Sus scrofa: one gene and its partner. The protein of the gene in region 2 purifies or fractionates together with the protein of the main gene of each other region. This does not show direct contact. Links are inferred from orthologs where the notes say so. Each region holds a gene or a part of one and is shown on either strand. Other genes may lie near its edges.

Evidence for each region. The genes of interacting proteins can lie anywhere in the genome.
Region 1: the proteins of UBQLN2 (region 2) and RAD23A purify together in Homo sapiens (affinity purification with mass spectrometry; 3 studies listed by BioGRID and IntAct, with this or other methods). This does not show direct contact. The link is inferred for Sus scrofa from reciprocal best matches to the Homo sapiens genes UBQLN2 and RAD23A.

Annotation. Positions count from the first base shown.
Region 1 is NC_010444.4:66,094,262-66,098,010, forward strand, and holds the start of RAD23A (UV excision repair protein RAD23 homolog A), read right to left. Parts: upstream 2,217-3,749; 5' UTR 1,982-2,216; coding exon 1,910-1,981; intron 621-1,909; coding exon 459-620; intron 294-458; coding exon 112-293; intron 1-111. UniProt on the Homo sapiens protein: Multiubiquitin chain receptor involved in modulation of proteasomal degradation. Binds to 'Lys-48'-linked polyubiquitin chains in a length-dependent manner and with a lower affinity to 'Lys-63'-linked polyubiquitin chains.
Region 2 is NC_010461.5:48,947,183-48,950,931, forward strand, and holds the start of UBQLN2 (ubiquilin-2), read left to right. Parts: upstream 1-879; 5' UTR 880-1,206; coding exon 1,207-3,081; 3' UTR 3,082-3,749. UniProt on the Homo sapiens protein: Plays an important role in the regulation of different protein degradation mechanisms and pathways including ubiquitin-proteasome system (UPS), autophagy and the endoplasmic reticulum-associated protein degradation (ERAD) pathway.

The DNA of each region.
Region 1 (3,749 bases), on a different chromosome or scaffold from region 2:
CCTGGCTTCTGGCGGCTTGCCCTCCCCGCAGGTGTGTGGAACCACGGACGTAGGCGCTGAAATGTGCTGGGAGGCCAGGGCCCAAGCTGAGGCTGCTGCTCCCTGCCTTACCCTGACACGGACTCCGGAGATGTCGTGGGGACCGATTCCTCCGATGGGCTCTTGTCCTCTCTGGCAGGAGATGGGGGGTGGGACATGCCTGAGGCAGGGGCCAATGGGAAGGATGTGGAAGACTCCGGGGCAGCAGTGGGTGAGGCCTCTGGGGGTACTGAGGTGCCTGGGCTAGTTTTGGCCTGTGAAACCCAGAAAAGGGAGCAGGCATCAGTATCCCTATCTAGCGCCACATCCCACCACAGCTCAGCCCCACCCTGTTCATGGTTAATCTCTCTTAGGCACACAGGCTCTTGGCCAGCTCCCAAGCTAATCCACCCACCCTCCCAACCAGCTACCTCACCTACCTTGGTCACCATGACGACCACAAAGTTCTTCTCATCAATTCGATAGTCCCTGATGGGGACATCGTCACTCAGGATCTTGCCAGCATAGATGAGTTTCTGTCCAGCCACGGGGAAGGCATCACGACCCTTCTCAGCTTCTATCTTCTCTTTTAGCACCTTCACCTGGAGAAAGGGGTACACAGTCATGGCAAACCCCAAGATTCTCTCTTCCCTTATAGTATAGGAGGAGAGGGGAGAAAACAAGCCCTGATGACTGAGAAGCTAAGCTTCATAATCAAGCATTCTAGGCTATCCCATCATTCAATGGAGTATTTACTGCACACTTCTATGTGCCAGGTGCAGTTTTAGGCACTGAGGACACAACAGAGAACAAAACTCAACAAACTCTGTTTTTGTAGAAATGACGCTTATTTGGGAGATGGAAGTCAGAAAATGTAAACACAATGTAATGAAAAACAGAAAAAAGGGGCGATAGGAGGGTTCCTCACTCCATGCTGCTGACAGTGGTTTTCAGTGGTAGAATCCTAAGTTTACAGTACTATTGTAAACATACATGTGTCACAAGTTTAAATCCTCATTGTAACTGGGTAAAAAAATTACCATTAGCCTCATTTTATGTCCAAGAAAAAAAGGCACAGATAGGTTGTTAACTAACTTGCCCAAAGGCAAACAGGCTGATGAGAAAATCTATTTCTCTCTCTATAAAAAGTGAACTTAAACATCTTCTTCATGAGATAAGTTGTGCGAATAATGCCAAATACGCATATTAGATTCGAAGTCTCTTCTCAGCTAAAAAGACAGCATAAGGTTTCGTCCATAGGCTCACTTGAGGCAAACCCCTACTGTTATTTGCTGTATGCGACTATGTCTACGTTCCTTAACTCCTAAATTTCCACATCTGTAAAACAAGAAGACTAAGTCCCCAAATGACAAGCCTACTTTGAAGATTTAGTAAGATAATACGAAAACGCTCAGTGACTGGTGAAGAACAAACACGGACCATTGAAACTCAGACCATTTATTATCTTTATCATCGTCGTTGCTGTCATCACCCGGCATCTCTTGGCCACTATTCGTAGATTCGGCCACCAACGTCCAGAGGAAACGCCTACAAAGCTGGGAACTAGGAGGCCCAGTCCCAGAGACAGCAGCACGACAGAAAATCTGAGCCTGCGGCTCCCGCGCCCCACGAGGGCGCTGACATTGGAGCCGGGGCCTGGCAGGCGCCCCGGGGGTGGGGCTTTGCCTGGAGATCGACACTAGAGCTCCACCCGAGCCACCAGGGCCTGGGTTGGGGACCATCGGGTAATCTGGAAAAGTAGGGCAGTTTGGGAGAATGGGCAGGGCCCGGCCCCGCGTCGTCTTCCCCGCGTCTCTCGTCGGGATCCCAGCCTCCCCCCGAACCCCTGGCACCCGTCGCTCCCGTTCCCAGGCTCAGGCTTGGTTCGCACCGTCTCATCAGGCTCCATGCGGATCTTGAAGGTCTGCTGTTGCAGCGTTTTGAGCGTGATGGTGACGGCCATGGTAGGACCCGAGCGACGCGGCGGCCCCGGGATCCTCACACAACATGCAACTCACGCCGCCGCCATCTTAGCGCCTAGCCGCGCCGCGCGCCGACCGCTTCCGGGGCAAACGGTGCGCGCGCCGACGACCAGGACACGTGACCTGCGCGCTGTGGGCCCCCCCCCCCCGCCGCCGCCATGGGCCTTCGTGAGCATGCGCACGAGAGCGGCCCTGAGTCAGGCGTACGCAGACCAACTTCTACTCAGTCGGCGTAGAGGGAGGTTTTCTCGCTTAACCATCACGTGGCTTCATGGGAGTGACGCCATCCCCGTTAGCGGTGACGTCATGAGGCCACAAAATGGCGCCGACGTCCAATTATCACGCCCATCAGTTTCCTTTTTTGTTGACGTTGAACAAAAATCTGCTTTGATACTTGTATCTCTACCGTAAAATCTTAGTTCATATTTTTTGCTCTTTCCAAATTAGTTTCATTCTAGTCTGGCCACCCTGACAGTACTCCTGTCTAACCCTGAAGGGACCTAGAAAGGATACTGAAAAGGTCACCAACAATTAAATGAAAATGCCAAACACGTTTGGCTGTGTAAACAGGCACACAGAGCCATTTTATGCCCTCATTTATTCTTTAGGAAGAGCCGGATTTTTGGAATTAATTTATACAGTTCTAGTTCCTGGGTCTCCCCCCTCTCTGCTGCTCCTTCCCTAACCACTATCTCCAACATGATCCGCAGTATGTAGAGTATGTAACTTCCAAGGCTTTCCTACACTGAATACAAAATTCTCTCCTTTCCCTGGATATGCTAATTGGGATGTTTCCCAGAAGGGTGGGGCTGGGCTGCAGGACACAGGAATGAAGCACAAAAGAGGCCTGTCCAAGTAACAAGGAAATGAAGCGCTGGTTGGCCAAAGGTGAAAAACGTGCTATGGCAGACTGGTTGGAGGTGATGGACTCCCCACCTCCTTCATATCCTGCTTCAGAACCTGATCTTTTCACCATTCCCATCCCAGTAGGACACAGTGCAGTCCCCTGCCACCTCACTCATTTCCCCAAATCTAACCAGGTCCTGCTGCTTGTCCCTTTACCACACACCCTGAACTAAGAAGCTTCCACACAAGAATAGGCCACCTCTTCCCTTCAAGAAGTTCAGATCCCAACTTGGCTACTGAACATCATGGGTAAGCTAGATACCACCTTCTGAAGATATTTTGACTAATGAAAGGTATTTATAGCTTTTAACACGGGCTGGTATTAAGAACAACGTGTTGAGGAGTGCCCTGGCAGCAAATTGAGCTAAGGATCCGGCACTGTCACTGCAGTGGCTTGGGTCACTGTTGTAGCACGGATTCGATCCCTGTCCCGGTGGAATCAGCATTAAAAAAAAAAAAAAAAAAGTGTTTATAAGAATTCCCGTTGTGGCTTAGGGGGTTAAAGACCCAACTGGTAACCATGAGGATGCAGGTTCAAAACCTGGCTTCACTCAGTGTGCTAAGGATCAGCGTTGCTGTGAGCCGCAGCATAGGTCAGATAGAGCTTGGATCTGGCATTGCTGTGGCTGTGATGTAGGCCCACAGCTGTAGCTCCAATTAGACCCCTAACCTGAGAACTTTCACATGCTGCACGTGCAGCCCTTAAAAAGTTAAAAAAAAAAAAAGGCAAATGTTTAAAACTTTTGCTTGAGAAGATGGACACATATGGACCAATATAAAACAGTTTGTATGAGATAGTGGCTAAGGTATGGTTTCAAAGCCCTGTCCCATCTCAAACTAAAT
Region 2 (3,749 bases):
CAATCCTGTGTAAAGAGACACTGATTATCCTTTTTAAATATTTATTTTAAATGCTGCAATGAGTGTAGATTTTATACATATGCATTTCTGCATTCCTATTTTGTTATTTTCATAGGTGAGGTCTCTAAATTAGACATTTCCAAACAGAGGTGGAACTATATAAAATGTTGATATATATATGTTAAAATCATCTTATGATTATAACAATTTACATTTCAATTGGCATAAGCGTGCATTTTCTCAGCTCTCTCAAAGATTTATTATTATTTTTCATCTTTGCCAGTAAAAGAAGAATTTCCTTGTTTTAATTTGAATGTCTTTCATTACTAGTGAGCTTAATCATCTTTTTATATGCCCATTTGCCATTTGTACTTCTTTTGTAAAATGCAGGATCCTGCCCAGCCCTCTTCTCTTCACCCTAGGGTGAGAGGTGGGTTGGGGTGGGTGTTAATCTTTTCCTTTTTGCTTTGTCAGAGTTCTTTATTTTTAATCTTTTACTTGGGTTGGGTTCGATTCAGGCTTTCATTCTTTCACTTCACTCTAACGGAACATCTATATATCTATGTATAGATATATATGTATATCTTACGAAATACATGTATATTTTCTCCATTAGTCTTTATTTCCCTTTATAGAAACTGGCTCCCGTCCCCCTTCCGTATTTTTTTCTCTTGTCTTCTCTAGTCTCTTTGTTTCTTTCTCCTGTTTTCCTCTCTCTTTGTTTCTCACTCTCTTTCTCTCCCTCATTTTTTTTTTTTTCCAGAACAGAAGTTTTTAATTTTGACCGAGTCGAATCTATCATTCTGCGCCTGGCGCCGCGTCAGCAGACGGGGGCAGGGAGGCGAGAGCCGAACTGGGGGGAGGGGAAGGGGCGGGGAGGAGCGGGCGGAGCGGCTGCGGGAGCTGCTGGGAGAGCGCGGGGTGGGGGTGGGATCACACGGCGGCGGCGGCGGAGGCAGCGGCAGCGGCAGTGGCGGCGGAGGCCCAGAGACCTGAACGCCGAAACCTCGGTCCGTGGCCTACACGGAGCCCTCTCTCCATCTGAGGACCAGGGAACCGCAGTCTTCAACACAGAGGTACCGTGCTCCGCTCTCCCGCCCGGCCCGGCTCAGCCTGCTGCGGCGGTGCCTCCTTCCTTCCTTCTTCCCTCGCTCTCTTTCTCGCCCGCCCGCGCCTTCCCTGTCTGCCTGCGTCACCGCGGCCGCCATGGCTGAGAACGGCGAGAGCAGCGGCCCCCCGCGCCCCTCCCGCGGCTCTGCTGCGGCGCAAGGCCCGGCCTCTGCCCCGGCGGAGCCTAAAATCATCAAAGTCACTGTGAAGACCCCCAAAGAGAAAGAGGAGTTCGCAGTGCCCGAGAACAGCTCAGTCCAACAGTTTAAAGAAGCGATTTCGAAACGCTTCAAATCCCAAACCGATCAGCTAGTGCTGATTTTTGCCGGAAAAATCTTAAAAGATCAAGATACCTTGATCCAGCATGGCATCCATGATGGACTGACTGTTCACCTTGTCATCAAAAGCCAGAACCGACCTCAGGGTCAGTCCACACAGCCCAATAGTGCCGCGGGAACTAATACTACCACCGCGTCGACTCCCAGGAGTAACTCCACACCTATTTCCACAAATAGCAACCCGTTTGGTTTGGGGAGCCTGGGAGGACTTGCAGGCCTTAGCAGCTTGGGCTTAAGCTCGACCAACTTCTCTGAGCTCCAGAACCAGATGCAGCAGCAGCTCCTGTCCAGCCCTGAGATGATGATCCAAATCATGGAAAATCCCTTTGTTCAGAGCATGCTTTCAAATCCTGATCTGATGAGGCAGCTCATTATGGCCAATCCACAGATGCAACAATTAATTCAAAGAAACCCAGAAATAAGTCACCTGCTTAACAACCCAGATATAATGAGGCAGACCCTCGAAATCGCCAGGAATCCAGCTATGATGCAAGAGATGATGAGAAATCAAGACCTGGCTCTCAGCAATCTCGAAAGCATCCCAGGTGGCTACAATGCTTTACGGCGCATGTATACTGACATTCAAGAACCCATGCTGAATGCCGCACAGGAGCAGTTTGGGGGTAATCCGTTTGCCTCGGTGGGGAACAGTTCCTCTTCTGGGGAAGGTACGCAGCCTTCTCGCACAGAAAATCGAGATCCACTACCCAATCCATGGGCACCGCCACCGGCTACCCAGAGTTCTGCGACCACTAGCACAACAACTAGCAGTGGCAGTGGATCTGGCAGTAGCTCCAGCAGTGCTACGGGGAACACAGTTGCTGCAGCCAATTATGTCGCTAGCATCTTTAGCACCCCAGGAATGCAGAGCTTGCTGCAACAGATAACCGAAAACCCCCAGCTGATCCAGAATATGCTGTCTGCGCCCTATATGAGAAGCATGATGCAGTCGCTTAGCCAGAATCCAGATTTGGCTGCACAGATGATGCTGAATAGCCCTGTGTTTACTGCAAATCCTCAGCTGCAGGAGCAGATGCGTCCACAGCTCCCTGCTTTCCTGCAGCAGATGCAGAATCCAGACACACTGTCAGCCATGTCAAACCCAAGAGCAATGCAGGCTTTAATGCAGATCCAGCAGGGGCTACAGACATTAGCTACTGAAGCTCCTGGCCTAATTCCAAGCTTCACTCCAGGGGTGGGGGTAGGGGTGCTGGGAACAGCTATAGGCCCTGTAGGCCCAGTCACACCCATAGGCCCCATTGGCCCCATAGTCCCATTTACCCCCATAGGCCCCATTGGGCCCATAGGACCCACTGGCCCTGCAGGTCCCCCTGGTTCCACTGGCTCTGGAACCCCCCCTGGGCCCACCGTGTCTAGCTCTGCACCCAGTGACACGACGAGCCCAACATCGGAATCTGGACCCAACCAGCAGTTCATTCAGCAAATGGTGCAGGCTCTCGCTGGAGCAAATCCTCCGCAGCTGCCGAATCCAGAAGTCAGATTTCAGCAACAACTGGAACAGCTCAACGCAATGGGGTTCTTAAACCGGGAAGCAAACTTGCAGGCTCTAATAGCAACAGGAGGCGACATCAACGCAGCCATTGAAAGGCTGCTGGGCTCCCAGCCATCGTAATTATACTTCTGTACCTTGAAAAAATGTATCTTATTTTTGATAATGGCTCTTAAATCTTTAAACACACAGAATTGTGCTTTACTTTCATTTTGATTCCTTTAAATCTGTCTAGTTATAAATCTAATATGCATTTTAAGGTGGAGTCTTTTCCTCCCTCTTTGTTTCCTTCCTCCCTTCCTCCTTCTCTCTTCCCTCCCTTCTTGCCTTCCTTCTCTGTTTTGAATGGTGGGAATCAATGCTGTTTCACTCAAAGGTGTTGCATGCAAACACTTCTTTATTCTGCATTTATTGTGATTTTTGAGAACTGGTATCAACCTTTACGGTTGGGTGAACAAGTTTTGTCCTACAGATGTCCAATTTATTTGCATTTTAAACATTAGACTATGATAGTAATTTAATGTAGACTGAAAATATTAAAAGCAGAAACAAATTATTTGAAACTCTAATTTGTGGTACAATATTGCTTATTGTGACTTTGGCATGTATTTTTGCTAGCAAAATGCTGTAAGATTTATACCATTCTTTGATCTTTTTTGCTATATTTATATGCAGTACAGTAAGCACAATTGGAACTGTATACCTAGAAATGTTACAACAGAATCTCTGAGCAGAATATATATAACCAAAATGAGAGAGACTATAAGAAATATTTCTGGAGCTTGATGTAT